Linked DNA regions of Caenorhabditis elegans. The protein of the gene in region 1 interacts with the protein of each later gene in a biochemical or structural test. Each region holds a gene or a part of one and is shown on either strand. Other genes may lie near its edges. The genes, in order: rde-10 and rde-11.

Region 1 (7,127 bases):
TTACTTTTTAACAAGCATTTTGCATTTGTCTTGTTTATTTCTTCCATTTTCCGAGGAAAAAACATAGAAAATGAAGAAAATCAGTCAAATAACGAAAATAAATAAAATTAATAAATAAAAATAATGCAAGCACGCTCCACCGAACAAATCCAATTGGCGGAAATTCAGAAATAAATAGGTGAAAACTGTGATTTTTCCAATTTTCAAAAAATCATATAAAATCTAGAACATTTTTTTGAATTTTTTAATCATGATATTCGGTTATTGTGGGACCATAGGCGTGTTTTAAAGCGTGGTCCACCTTTAAATTGTGTTTTTTTTTCAAATTTTGAAATACTTTTCCGAAACAAAAATTATAAATAACTATTAAATTGTCGATTTTTAGGCAAATTTTGAAATTTCCGCCACTTTCGGGTAATCGAATTTTATTCACGGATAAGTGTCTGAAAAATCTGAAAAACTGACAAACCAAGTAAACCGATGTTTTTAGCCCGAAAACGCCAAAATATCGAAAATAACTTTGCGCGGGAATTCAAATTTAATTCGGACGTTTCTTTGATTTTTGAAAATTGAAAAAATAATAAAAAATTTAGAAACTTTTTTAACCAGTTATATTCGGTCTCTACTTTTTTCTGTCATTTAAAGCACCAAATTTTTTAAATGACTTTAAATAAAATAATTAAACTAGTAATTTCTCATTTTACCTGAAATATTTCTTCGCATCCTTCTGAACCATATCAATAATCGGCTGAGCCTGTGGCATATTTTGTGGCAATCTCATCTCCTGGAACATCATCGAATTAACTTTAAGATTACGTCCACCGAGCATCTGACCATTCATCGATTCTTGAGCAAGAAGTGCGGCTTCTGGGACTTCGTATTCAACAAATGCGAACGTTTTGTGGTGCTGAAAATGAAATATTTATTAATTTAAGACTAAAAATATGCTCAATTCGTAATAAAACTTCCGTTTAAAACATCAAATATTTGAAAAAAAAGTGTCACAGCTTTTGGAAATTAATTTTTATTCGATTATCATTTTTTTTATTGCATATTTTTATTTAAGTTGTTCATTTAAGTAAATTTAAAGCCAATAGATGACAAAAAATGACCAAAAATTGGATAGAAATTGAGATAAACTATCAAAATCTGCAATAAAAGATGAAAATCGAATGAAAAATAATTTCCAGCTGCTCTGACACGGAAACTTCTGGTAAAATAAAGGACCTTAGATAAAATTAGCTTAATTCTTTCGGAATTTTAAAATAAAATAAGACTTTTTTAAAAACTCACCCCAGTAGCTGGATCCCAGCTCATATTAATAGATTTAATGGGTCCAAATGGGTCAAAAGCCCTGCGAAGCATATCTTCGCGGATTTCAAATGAGATTGAGCCAACATAGATTCTGGACATAATCGATAAAGCTTGTGAGTACATTTGCTGCCGTTGTTGCTGAAATTTTATTGATTATTACGATAATTTCTACTTTTTAAAAATAAAACTAACATTCTCCTGTTGCTGTTTCTGCTGACGAAGAAGAATCTGCTTAATTGAAATGTCCATCGCATACTTTTTCGCCATCTGAATATCATCCTTCCGCTTTGAACTCAATTTCGATAAACCAAGGCCAATTTTTTGAGCGTCTTTCTTACCTCCAGGTCCTACGAACACCTGAAAATAAAATTTGTTTTAAAGTTTCATTAATTTGAACGAATCTAAAGTATTTACCTCTCCATCTTGCGGAAGAACTGGCATTGGCACTGACACTGCCGGCCGAAATGCCGCCACCGGCCTGTTTTCGATGTCTGCCGAGTTTTCTTCCATTTTAAAATGTCTGAAAATATGAAAAATGATTTAAAAAACACAAAAAACACAAATTTCGAAAAATAATAAGAAAAAAGTGTTGAAAATCCGAAAAAAACACGTTCAATATTCGAAAAGAAATAGTGGGCGGAGTCGATAATTGCAACCCTGGCACGGCATTTTTGCAAGTGGTGCGCACATTTTCAAGGACTTTTGCGGACTTTTGCCAGCGTCTAAAATTGATTTTTATGAATATGTCAAATCACAGATCTAATTTTAGAGATTATCAGAGGTTTGCCTTAAATATTGTCCCAATTAATTTTAAAAAATCTCTTCAGAGAGGGCATTCGAGCCAATAATGCCGGCACCTCCGGAGATGCGGTGCGCCAGAACGGAAATCCGATTTCAGTTGCAAAACATGTCGACGGCAAGAAAAGTGTCTACATGCTATTCCTACGCCAGATAGGACAGAAAAAGTAGGAAAATTTCTGAATATATTTTGCGAAAATGTGATTTTTGATATTTTGATGTTTAGATTTCTGACCGAGCAAGGCCACCGATACAATCAGAATGATCAGGCAGACAAGGATATTATGACAAGATATTATCACGTAAAAAAAATAAAGAAAAATTATTATTTTCAAGCCTAATATGTCGGATTTCAGGGAATGTGCCCTGATTTGAAGCAAAAATTCGAGCGAGAAGTTGCCGAGCACAACGGAAATCGGGGGCTTGTAATTGTAGGTTTTTATTGAAAATTTTACTACACCCTGTGGGGAAATTGCTTTAAAACACGCCTATGGTCCCACAATGACCGAATATCATGATAAAAAAATTCAAAAAAATGTTCTAGATTTTATATGATTTTTTGAAAATTGGAAAAATCACAGTTTTCACCTAATTATTTTTGAATTTCCGCCAATTGGATTTGTTCGGTGGAGCGTGCTTGCATTATTTTCATTAATTAATTTTATTTATTCTCGTTATTTCACTGATTTTCTTCATTTTCTATGTTTTTTCTTCGGAAAATGAAAGAAATAAACAAGAAAAATTAAGAATGATCACTAAAAATTAACTGAAACTTCCTAAATCTGTCAAATATTCTAATTTCAGGCTCTTCGTCGTCAGAACTCAGAATATCACAGTTTTACGCATTTTCAGTTAATTTTTAACAAACATTTCGCATTTTCTTGTTTATTTCTTTCATTTTCCGAAGAAAAAACATAGAAAATGAAGAAAATCAGTCAAATAACGAAAATAAATAAAATTAATAAAAAAAAATAATGCAAGCACGCTCCACCGAAAAAATCCAATTGGCGGAAATTCAAAAATAATTAGGTGAAAACTGTGATTTTTCCAATTTTCAAAAAATCATATAAAATCTAGAAAATTTTTTTGAATTTTTTAATCATGATATTCGGTTATTGTGGGACCATAGGCGTGTTTTAAAGCAATTTCCCCACTGAGCGTAGTCCACCTTTAAAGAAAAACTATGTTTTTTTTTTCAGAAAACAAAGCACCAGAGAGCACAGAGAAACCGTGAGATGCGCCACCGAAATCCAGATGAGTTCCAACAGCTCCGACGTGCACATTTGGAGACACTGAGCCAAACTCCAAGTGTTATAGCGTTGCCAAGAGATATAAATCACGTTCTTCACATCACCGAAGATCTCGACGCGTTTTGTCTTGCAAATCGCAAAAAGGCGAAACGAATAATGACTTCATACATTGCTCAGCGTTCTGATGATCCTGGAAATCCGTTGCTTTGCGAGGACTACACAATGCAGATTGTTTCAGTATTTCCGGTTGCCTACGCCTTCAAACCATCAATCAATAAGCTTTCATCGTATCCTGCAGAGATATCCGTTACAACATTCAATCTTAAGAATGGAATCATTCAGAATGAATCGAGATTCGTCAAATTCGATGCAGCTTGGTTTTATCCAGATGCAGATGACATTGGGCACGAGGAATTGTCTAGAAAAGCAATGGGTAGCAAAAAATTCGAAAAGTTGCAGAAGATTGTTTTAAAAATTGAAGAATGGTGCCAAAAACTTTGCAAAAATTGCCGATAATAAGCAAAAGTTGCCGAAAATTAAATGAAAATTGGCAAAACTTCACAAAAATTGCCGAAATTTGGCTAAAATTACCAGAATTTTGCAATAGTTGACGAAAGTTACTGAAAGTTGTCAAAAATTGCCGAATATTTTCAAAAAGTTCGCAAAAATTTATAAAAGTTGCTGAAAATTGTTTTAAAAATTGGAGAATGGGACAATGGTGCTAAAACTTTGCAAAAATAGCGAAAGTATTAATGAAAATTGGCGAAACTTACCGAATTTTGTCAAAACCTTTGCAGAAGTTGGCTAGAGTTTCCAGAAATTTTGGAAAGTTGTTTGAAACTCCTCAAAAAATGCCAAAATTTTGCAATAGTTGTCGAAAATTGGCGAAACTTTACAAAAATTGCCAAAATTTATAAATTTTGCTGAAAATTGAAGAGAAATTGGGGAATGTTGCCAAAACTTTGTAAAATTTCCCGAAAGTTGTCATAAATTGCCGAAAGTTGGCGAAAGTTTCTACAATTTTCGAAAAGTTGTGGAAAGTTGTTTGAAACTTCTCAAAAATTGTCAAAATTTTGCAATAGTGTCGAAAGTTGTCGAAACTTATCGAATGTTGCCGAAAAATTGCCAAAAAAATGCTATAAATGGTCAGTAGCTTAAAATTTTCAGCCGACGAACTGGGAATTTCGCCCAATGGACCCGCCGATGGCTGTGAACCATATGAAGTTTTCGAGTGGCTTCAACACCTTTTAAAACAGCATCCGAAATCTCCGATTCTATGCGATCGAGCTCAATTCAATTTTGTATATTATGGAATCAAGACTCTGGCCACTTACACTGGAATCAATGCCATCACATTCTTCCAAGAAGTCATCATTCCTAGTATTCTGAGCATTCAGGATTTTACAAGTGTAATACTCGAAAAAGCGCCGACGGATGTCCCCCGTGTCTGGAGAGATGTTGATATTTGTAATCAATTTCAATATCATTTTCTCATTCCCAGAACTGAATTGAACCTATTCTGCAGTTTTCATGAGAATAAACCATCGCCTACGAAATACAATTGCGTCAAGGCTCATAATGCAAGACTATTGTAACATTTTTTGCAGTGATTTTCAAGATAAAACACATTTTACAGAGACAATTTTTTCACTGTAATAAAGGGGAACCGGCTTCAAGGATTCGTGATTTCGCCGCCAGTTCATGAGATTTGCATTCAAGACGGGAGTGACACAAGTTTGCCTCAAACGTACGGAAAAACGAAAATTTTCGATTTTTCGATTATCCGAAAATACAAAAATGTAAAAAATAAGTTCAGAAAATTAACCATAAAAAAGTTTAAATTGATCAGAAAAAAACATAAAAATTTATTCTAAAAAGAAGAAAATACCAAAAATTATAAGCTAATTTTTGACAAATCGAAAAAACTAAAAATTTTCGATATCTCGATTTCAAAAAAAATCGAAAATTTTCGATTTTTCGATTATCCGGAAAATCGGAGAAAAAATCTGAAAATTAACCATAAAAGATGATTTTTTTGAATCTAATTTCGTCTAAATTGGTGAGAAAAAAACATACAAAAAATGTATTCTAAAAATAAGAAAAAAAACCATAATGACCAAAAGTCGGTTTTTTCTAAAATTTTCGTTTTTTTATTTTTCCGATTTTTCGATATTTTTGAGGGAAAATCGAAAAATTGGAAATCGAAAACAGAAATTTTTGATTTTTCGTTTTTTTTTTCAAAAATAGAAAAATCAAAATTTTTTTGATTTTCGATTTTTAAAAAAAAAATCATGAGAAAAAACATAAAAATTTATTCTAAAAAGAAGAAATGTTTTCGAAAAAGAAAATTTTCGATTTTAAATTTTTTCCGAAAAACCTTTTTTTTTTAAATCCAGAAAAATTAACCATAAATTATGATTTTTTAAAAATTTAATTTGGTCTAAATTGATGAGAAAAAACATAAAATTTTATTCTAAAAAGAAGAAAAAATACCAAAATGACCAGAAGTCGATTTTTCAAAAATCGAAAAAATTTATGTTTTTCCATTTTTCGATGTTTTTGAGGGAAAATCAAAAAATCGAACTACGAAATTTTTTCGATTTTTCGTTTTTTTTTTCAAAAATAGTAAAATTAAAATTCACAGAAAAAACAAAACATTCTCTGCAGTTCCCAGAAATTTCGAAAATTAAATGAGCGTCTATAGATATTTTTCCAGAATCTTGGCAAGAACAATATCCCGTAATGACGCCGAAGTCTACGCCGCCAGGCAGAGAGATACCGATGAACAATATGACGTCCATCAAGAAGGTCCATCTAATCATGATCAATACGAATTCGCATCTGAACCACTGGATTTCGAAGAAGATTCTGATGAGGAAAACTACAATGAACAGCTTGATGTTCCTTATTCTTACAGTAAGAATTTTTCTCGAAAATTCTGAATTTTGAAAGTTTGAAAATTAATTTTTTTTTTATTTTTAATTTCAGACGATCACTTCATCAGCTCATCATCTGTTCGTGAGCCAGAGCATCCCAGTGCAAGATCAAGAGATGTTGCTCCAAATGTTCAACAAGAATCTGTTGTGGTTCCGGCTCCAAGGCGATTGTCGCCACAGCGAGCTCCACGCCCGTCACAAAATAGTCCGAATGCTTATTCTGAACGCAAAAGGTTCGTCGTAAATTAAAGAAAATAAATTTTTTTTAATTTTCAGTTTTTCCGCGTTTCCATCCGAAGATCCATCTGAAGATTATGAAACCCCAATAATCAGTCATATCATGAATCGAAACGAAGCGGATCAATATTTCAATATTCTGGATTCGGTGAAACCGGGACAGAAATATAAGATGTAAGTGTATATAATAAAAAATTTTTAATAGTTTTTATATTATTTCAGAATCAAGTTCGACGACTTCTAAACGGAAACCCCTCACACATTCATTTCATGGTATTAAATATAAGCATTCTAAAATCCTAATTGTACTAATAGTATTATACATGATATACTCTGTCTGTCTGCTTGGTACAAATTTACTTCATTCTCAATTTTCAAAACAATAAATCATATATTCTTTATCTCGGATGCATAATTCCTCGACCACCATCAACCTTCAACAGTTGTCCAGTAGTGAATGAGCTCTTCTCAGAGGACAGGAATAGGATAGCTTCAGCTACTTCGGATGTAGTTCCAGGACGGCCGAGTGCGTGGGTCGTCTTGCTTTTCTCGAGGAACTGGAATTTCGTTGAAAGTATTATTACGCCAACAC
Region 2 (7,127 bases), on another chromosome or scaffold:
AAAAAAAATGTCCAAAATTTTAAGTTATTTTCCGAAAAATCGGGAAAAAACACAAACTTTCGATTTTTCGTTAAAAAATAATTGCTTAAAATTTTCAGCTCGCCACAATCTGCGGTCGTGACGAAGTGATTCTCGTGGAACTTCAAAATCGTCTTCACATTGATCATCTTTCCACAGTCATGGATGCAGCGAAAGCCACGTGTGCTGACGTGTACGAATGTCTCGCAGTAGTTGCTCAGCAACATCTGAAAGCTTGTGCTCCGATTCTAGGCAATTAGCTGTTCTTTTTTTCTTATTCATTGTTGTTTTGAGTTGTTATTCCTTTTTTTTTAAACCCATTTTTTGCAGTCGATAAATCAGTTTTTTCAAATTTAATCTTAGAAATTTTGTAAAATTTTATATGTTTCCGTCTCATTTTCGTACTTTTCTTGTTCAAATCTTGATATTTTTTTAAAAAAATTGCAAATATCTAGAATGTGGAGCCGTGGATTACCCACGCTTTGCAGGACGATTCCGTGTCGTCAGTTTTCCGTCGCAGCTCAAAGTGGAGCTGGTCCTGCAGAAATTGATGGTAGGTGCAGATTTTTTTTGCTCTAAATGGCCAGAATTTTATTAAAATTGTCAAAAAAATTTCAAAAAATAGCTAATTTCCGCTAGAATCTCCAACTTGACCAACTTTAGAGCGGCCGGAAAATAATTTTAATTCGATTATTGTGCTACTTTGGTTTATTTTACGTTATTTCGTAAATTTAGGGTAATTTTAAGCAAATTTGGCTTTAAATGTACCAATTTTTACGAAAAAACATGTGATAAATGACCAAAATAAGACAAAAATTTAATAAAAGGGAAATTTGGCAAAATATTTGAAAAATTTTGCGAAATGTGAGATTTTAGCTAAAATCAAGTGTTTTTCGACATTTTTGAAGTTTCGCAATAAGCTTTTCGGGTTATTTTTAGTAAAAAAAAGTAGAATAATGCAAAAAACATCAAAAAATATTTGAATTCCAGATTTCCTCCATTCCATCGCCGCTGCTCCAACACAGAAGCTCGTGAAAAACAGAACTGTATTAGAAACTTCGACGGAATTTTTCAAGGTACTCAATAAGCTTAAGCTCCATTTAAATTGTTCAATTATTTAAGTGGCTCGAACAAAATCCCATAAAATCGATTGATCAATTCATCACAGCTGCACAAATGGCTATCACTGTGAAATCAACGGAACAAAATAAGGCGTTTTCGAAAATTGATGATATTGCGAAGAAAGTTCTGCCGAAATTCTATGAAAATTTTGGACCGAAGGAGACAGTGGATGCATTGCGATTTGTTTTGCAGCTGAATTCAAAGGGAAAAGTCTCGACGGATATTCAGAATTTGTTCCTTGAAAAAAGTATGATTTATCCAACAAAACTACTTATTTGAATATGATAATTCTACTTTTTTGATCTAAAATTGATTTTAAAAAATGTAGAAAAAGATTCGCTCCATCTGAAAATAATTTTTAGTTTTGTTGAAAATGAAAAATTGGAAATTTTGTTAGTTTTTTGATAATATAATGTTTAATTGACTTAAAAACACATTTTCATTTAAAAAAAATTCGGCAAAAATCGACGAAAATTAAGGAAACTCGTTGAAAACAGAAATCAGCATCTGATAAAGATTAAAATTCTCGTAAATCGACACATGGCTCGTCTCTGGCGCGAAAATTCGGCGTTTGAAAAATCTCATTTGGACGCAAGTGAAAGGAGAAAATTTGGAGTGATTCAAAAATATTTTTCTCAGATTTCGGTGCTCAACCTAAAGGTAGAGGTGAGGCCTAGTGGCCTTATTTAAATTTTTCAACAAAAAAAATTATTAATAATATTTTATCAGATGGAACGAATCCTTTTCATCAATTTTAGAAAAAAAAAAGTTGATTTTCAGTAGTATTGTGCGTTTTCCTAAACATTTTCCGAAAGATATTTCAAATAAAACGTAAAATTTCAGAAATAAGTCAATCCGATCTACAAACTGTTCCATTTGACACACTTGTGATGATCATTCGATATTCAAAATCTTCAATCGATCAAAATGTTATCGAATCTATTGCGACTTCATTGATTTCTAGAATCGAAAAGTAATTAAATAATTTAGATTTAAAAGCTCTATTTAATATCTAATTTTCCAGAGAACTGGCAAATCCTGCAGATCTCCTAGCAATTCTCGCCGGTGATGGATACGAAAAATCAAAATGGTTTCACAACGAAGCGTTCCTCAAAAAAGCCGAACGACTTGTAGCAGTAATGGGAATGGCTGAAAAATGTGCTCTTTTGAAGCATATGGCAGTGAATAAGCAAAGAAATCGACAGCTACTTGGAGCAATAATCAACGCGATTTCCAGTTCCAGTCAAGTTCTTACAGTATCACAAATTGTCAGTGTCACCGGCTCATGTTCTGCTCTCACCTATTATCCACCAAAAATTGCACGGAAAATCTCCAACGACCTCGAGAAAAATTCGAATGTTCTTGCTCAATGGGATGATGTGCTCAGCATTGCCGATTCATTTATTCGTATGAGAATGGGTGATCAAAAGTCATGGAATCTTCTTGTTCGATGGGCAATTGAAAATGTGAAGCAAGCACATCCGGCTCGATTGAGCAAATTTGTCTCCGGGCTCGCTAGAATTGGAGAACCATCTGGAAAACCGTTGGCAAAAGCGCTCAAACCATTTTTGGTGAAGGAAAAAGCTTCGACGCCCAACAATTGGCTGAATATCGTCTTTTCTCTTGCATATTTTCAAGAACTTGAAGCAGTTCATGCGGATTCGGTGCTCAATAAGAGTTTTGTAGATCAAATCATGAATTCAACAATGTAAGAAATTATTTGGAAATTGAAGAGGTGCAAACGCGCTCCAAATTAAAACACTCCGCAACTAAACGTTGGGTCTCGTTAGGTTTTCGGTTTTCCGATTTTTCCGAAAATTCAAAAATCAAAAATTTAGTTTTGCGACATTCCTAAACAAATTCGATTTTTTCGAAAATTGCTTAAAAATTTAGGATTTTTTTTTGAAGACAATGATTTTGATTTTTTTTCAAAATGAGCAAACAAATAAATTTTTATTATTAATTTTCGAAACATTTTCTAAAGATTTTTCGAAAACTCCGGAAAATCGATATGAATTTTATCTCAATTTCGACATTAAAATTATTAGAAAAAAAGTTTTTAAAAATTTTTTAAGTTAAAAGAAAAATATTTTTAAAAATCACAATATAAATTTAAAATGCTGGGAAACACGAAAAAAATGCCAATTTTTTTTTGCTTTTTCGGTTTTTGCTAGGGAAAACTAAAAATAGTCGATTTTGCAGAAACTCGAAAAAAATGCTGAAAATTTACCAAAAAATTCAAATTTTGTTTATGATGATGAAAAAACAACATATAATTTTTCCAAAAAAAGGCCAAAATGTGGTTTTTTTTCTCCAATTTTAGTTTTAAAAGTTGAAAAACTGACTTCCTTATTGTCAATACCTAACGAGACCCAAGGTTTAAGGGCGGAGTGTTTTCAAAAGGCATTTTTCTGCATCCCCATTTATAATATCAAAAATTGTCAATAATTTCCCAATTTTTCAGGGAAATTCACGATCGACTCCGAAAAGCGATGACTCTTCTAATGATCAGTTCAGCGGCTAAAGTTGATATGCAGGGAAAATACGAAGGACCAACAGTGAATAAGGAAACATTTGCTCGATTTGGAATCAATTTCGACGCGAAAACGATTCGGAACGCGAGGCAACTGAAATATTCGAGCAATCATTCAGAATGCGATCGATATTTTTTAAAGTCATTATTCAAACTTGCTCCACAAGATACTCATTGTCAACTTCCGAATGTTGAAGATTGTGGAGCTTTTGTCGATGCCTATGTTATGCCAGATCCGGTATATTATTTTCAATTAAAAAATATTTTTGAAAAAAAATGTTTTTTTTTTCAGAATTCCAACTTGCTAGTGAACACATCACAATGGGGCTCGAAAAAACCCAGGCCTCTATTTTTCTACGGATGGTTGCAAACTAAACAGGTAAGCATTTTCGAATCTCATAAAATCATATAAAATTCTAAATTTCAGAACACAGAAACGAGCGGCGAAATCAATACAGTTGGGCAAGAACAATTGGGACTTCGACTGATGCGTTCCGCTGGCTTCGATCCAGTAGTCGTCTTCAAAACGGAACTCGACTATTGCTCCACAGAAATTGATCAAGTGAATCTGCTACGGGATAAAATACATAAGAAGAATTAATTTTTTTGATAAAAGATTATATTTCTAGCGCCCCTAGTCTTTATTGTTTTGTTGTTATTCATTTTTATTCAATATTTTTTAGATTTGAGATTATAATAAAACAAATTTATAAAGGTTTCGATGAAATTTTAGAATTTTCTGTGAACTGTCTTTTGAACAGAATATGAATATTTTTGCGGGAATTTATTGTTTATTGATCAAATTTTATTTGTCTTTCCTGTTGGTTTTTTCTTCTATTTTTTCTTTTCTCTTGGGTGGCAATTTTCAGGTTTCAATTACAAATTTAAATAGTCTTATATTTAAGATCTTATCACGTGGTGTCAGAGTGTCTCATTTCGGTTTGATCTACATTGATCTACAAAAAATGCGGGAAAAGAGACGCAGAGTTCTCAACTTATTTTGGATGGTTAAGAACGTGCTGACGTCACTTTTTTTTCTGGCAAAAAATTCCCGCATTTTTTGTAGATCAAACCGTGATGGGACAGCCTGGCGTGATTATACGTGATTATATTTATACTTTTTTTTGTGACAATTTGATCTTGACCTCTGGAGGTCTCTACAAACGGTTTTGTCCACTTTCTAAAAGAAAAAACCGGGGAAAAACTAAAATTAAAAATTCACGCGCGTGACCCAATTTCGAGTGACATTCCGGCCCTGATCATTTCTTCTCTGATCATCTTTCTAAAATTCATTAAATTCATTAGTTTCTACATTTTAGTTCCTGAAAACTTGCTTCATTTCTTTTTCCAATCAACCAATAGGTCTCTTTTTTTTTAATTTTTCGATAATTTAAATTAATTTAATTACAGCAGAAATTTCAGAACATGAATGTTATCACTCCACCGTTTGCTGATGGCGTGGATCCAAAGCCCGTATGTATTGTCGCTGATGACATTTTCGAGACGATGACCGCCAGACGAAAAATCCATTTTTCAATTTACGTGATTTTTAAGGTAATTTTCGCCTTTTAATAGTTTCGATTTCGATATCAATTTCAAGAATTTAGAAAAACGTCGAGCTTGCTGAGCCATTTAAGCTCCTATACTACACAGAAAAGAAAAATGTTGCACATCTTGATGGATCCGTTGCACAGGATTTCGGACTCCCTATGTGGTGAGTTTTGGCGGAAGTGTGGAAGTGTTAACAATAGAATGTCTATTACAGGACAAAAGACGATGGACAGAGGGCGCCGGACCTTTCTCGACAAAAAAACGACTATATAAAACTGGATTTTTTCACAAATATCAATAATCCTGAAGATGGGTTTTCGTATTGGTAGGCGCCTGTTAATTTAAAAATGTCTAGTTTAAAATTCATTTTTCTTCAGCTGGACGGACTGTATCTCTACAAAAAACACGACGATGGTACCAAGACAACTAATGCCACCATCGAAACGATCAATGAAACTTTACCTGATTCTCCCGGTGGAAGAGGTGAGATCTAAGATCCCACAAATGCTTGATTAATAAAATTTGTATTTTTTTCCAGTCAAATATCATGGTGCTATCTGAGAAGGCATACGGATCACTCCAGCTCATGAAGAAACATCGGAAAATGGGCCAGCCACCTCAACGAGTCGGGTGCTACATTAACTTTAATTGCCAAACATCGAAAGTCATGTTCGGGTGTGGACACGTCTATTGTGAGCAATGCTTGAATTCTTGGAATGATAAACCCTGCTCCGTGTGCTTGAAACCGGGTTAGTAAAGAAGATTTTAGCAAATATATATATATATATATATTGCCTTGAAATTTCAGTAACTAGTGAACCAACTCAGCTCAAACTGCGGCAAGGTCCGTGTCCTTTCGATTTGTGCAGTCCAAACAGCAGTACTATGGGAATCGTTCTAATTCCATGCGGGTGAGAAAAAACTATAACGTTTTTAAAGAAATTAATATTGATATTCAGATGTCATGTGATGTGCCAAAATCTGGAGGATGCGTACGAACGAAACAAACACCACCTTGAACCACTTATAGAAAAAATCAAGTATTGTCCTTTCGAGCCCTGCAGGATCCGTGTCCGTAAACTCAAAAAGCCCTTCTGGCACCAACAAGACAAAGAGCACACTTTGGAAATGAACTCGGCCTAATTTTATAAATAAATCATGTACTGTAATTATTTTATTAATTAATACGACTTTTGGAATTTCAAAGAAGCTTTTTACCCTTTTTGTCAACACCAGACTACTTTTGTGATACTTTTTCATGTAAAATAACCACCCAAAAAAGTTTTTTCCCAACTCAAAAACCATCATTTTCCGATTTCAACCCACTGCTCCACGTGTCAAGTTTTGTCAATAATTGCCTTGTTTTAATAATTGTATTTTCCCCACAATTTCAAAATTGCTTTTTCTTCGCCACAATTCAATTGGTACTGATTTTTAATAAATGTTTCGGTTAGAAATTCATAATTGCTCGTATTTCACATCCAGTGTGTAGATTTTACCTCAGTTTTATATTTTATATGTTTTCAGAAACAAAATTGCCACAAATTTGACGCTCAAAATATCTCGTACCGAAAACTACAGTAATTCTTTAAATGACTACTGTAGCGCTGGTGTCGATTTACGGGATCTCGATTTTCGAAATAAATTGAAAATCATTTATTTATCGATAGAATATTAAAATTATGAGAAAAATGAGAAAATGATACGAAAAAAACTATTCGAAAAGAAATTCATTTCAAAAATCGAGCCGTCACAAAAAATCCAAAAAAATGGAATATCGTTGATCGAGCCCGTAAATCGGCACCCGCGCTACAGTAGTCATTTAAAGGGTTACTGTAGTTTTCGCTACGGGATATTTTGCGCGTCAAATATGTTGTGCAATACGCATTCTCAGAGTTTTATG

Evidence for each region.
Region 2: the proteins of rde-10 (region 1) and rde-11 form a complex in vitro, tested with the Caenorhabditis elegans proteins (one study listed by BioGRID).

The regions. Positions count from the first base shown.
Region 1 is NC_003279.8:3,545,071-3,552,197, forward strand, and holds rde-10 (RNA interference defective protein 10), read left to right. Parts: upstream 1-2,000; 5' UTR 2,001-2,057; coding exon 2,058-2,095; intron 2,096-2,141; coding exon 2,142-2,279; intron 2,280-2,338; coding exon 2,339-2,414; intron 2,415-2,468; coding exon 2,469-2,543; intron 2,544-3,311; coding exon 3,312-3,795; intron 3,796-4,529; coding exon 4,530-4,953; intron 4,954-4,998; coding exon 4,999-5,109; intron 5,110-6,078; coding exon 6,079-6,278; intron 6,279-6,350; coding exon 6,351-6,531; intron 6,532-6,574; coding exon 6,575-6,709; intron 6,710-6,757; coding exon 6,758-6,779; 3' UTR 6,780-6,933; downstream 6,934-7,127. Other genes in the region: Poly(U)-binding-splicing factor rnp-6, read right to left, coding at 705-907, 1,294-1,452, 1,507-1,671, 1,729-1,824; Y47G6A.21 (DeHydrogenases, Short chain), read right to left, coding at 6,934-7,092. UniProt on the Caenorhabditis elegans protein: In complex with rde-11, required in the endogenous and exogenous siRNA pathway for biogenesis and accumulation of secondary small interfering RNA (siRNA) intermediates, such as 22G-siRNAs derived from ergo-1 targets.
Region 2 is NC_003282.8:13,100,242-13,107,368, forward strand, and holds rde-11 (RNA interference defective protein 11), read left to right. Parts: upstream 1-5,095; 5' UTR 5,096-5,098; coding exon 5,099-5,227; intron 5,228-5,280; coding exon 5,281-5,387; intron 5,388-5,438; coding exon 5,439-5,549; intron 5,550-5,601; coding exon 5,602-5,707; intron 5,708-5,762; coding exon 5,763-5,973; intron 5,974-6,032; coding exon 6,033-6,135; intron 6,136-6,183; coding exon 6,184-6,367; 3' UTR 6,368-6,686; downstream 6,687-7,127. Other genes in the region: exos-4.1 (Putative exosome complex component RRP41), read left to right, coding at 99-278; fask-1 (RAP domain-containing protein), read left to right, coding at 475-571, 1,009-1,094, 1,141-1,387, 1,984-2,113, 2,165-2,848, 3,605-3,911, 3,966-4,052, 4,101-4,274. UniProt on the Caenorhabditis elegans protein: In complex with rde-10, required in the endogenous and exogenous siRNA pathway for biogenesis and accumulation of secondary small interfering RNA (siRNA) intermediates, such as 22G-siRNAs derived from ergo-1 targets.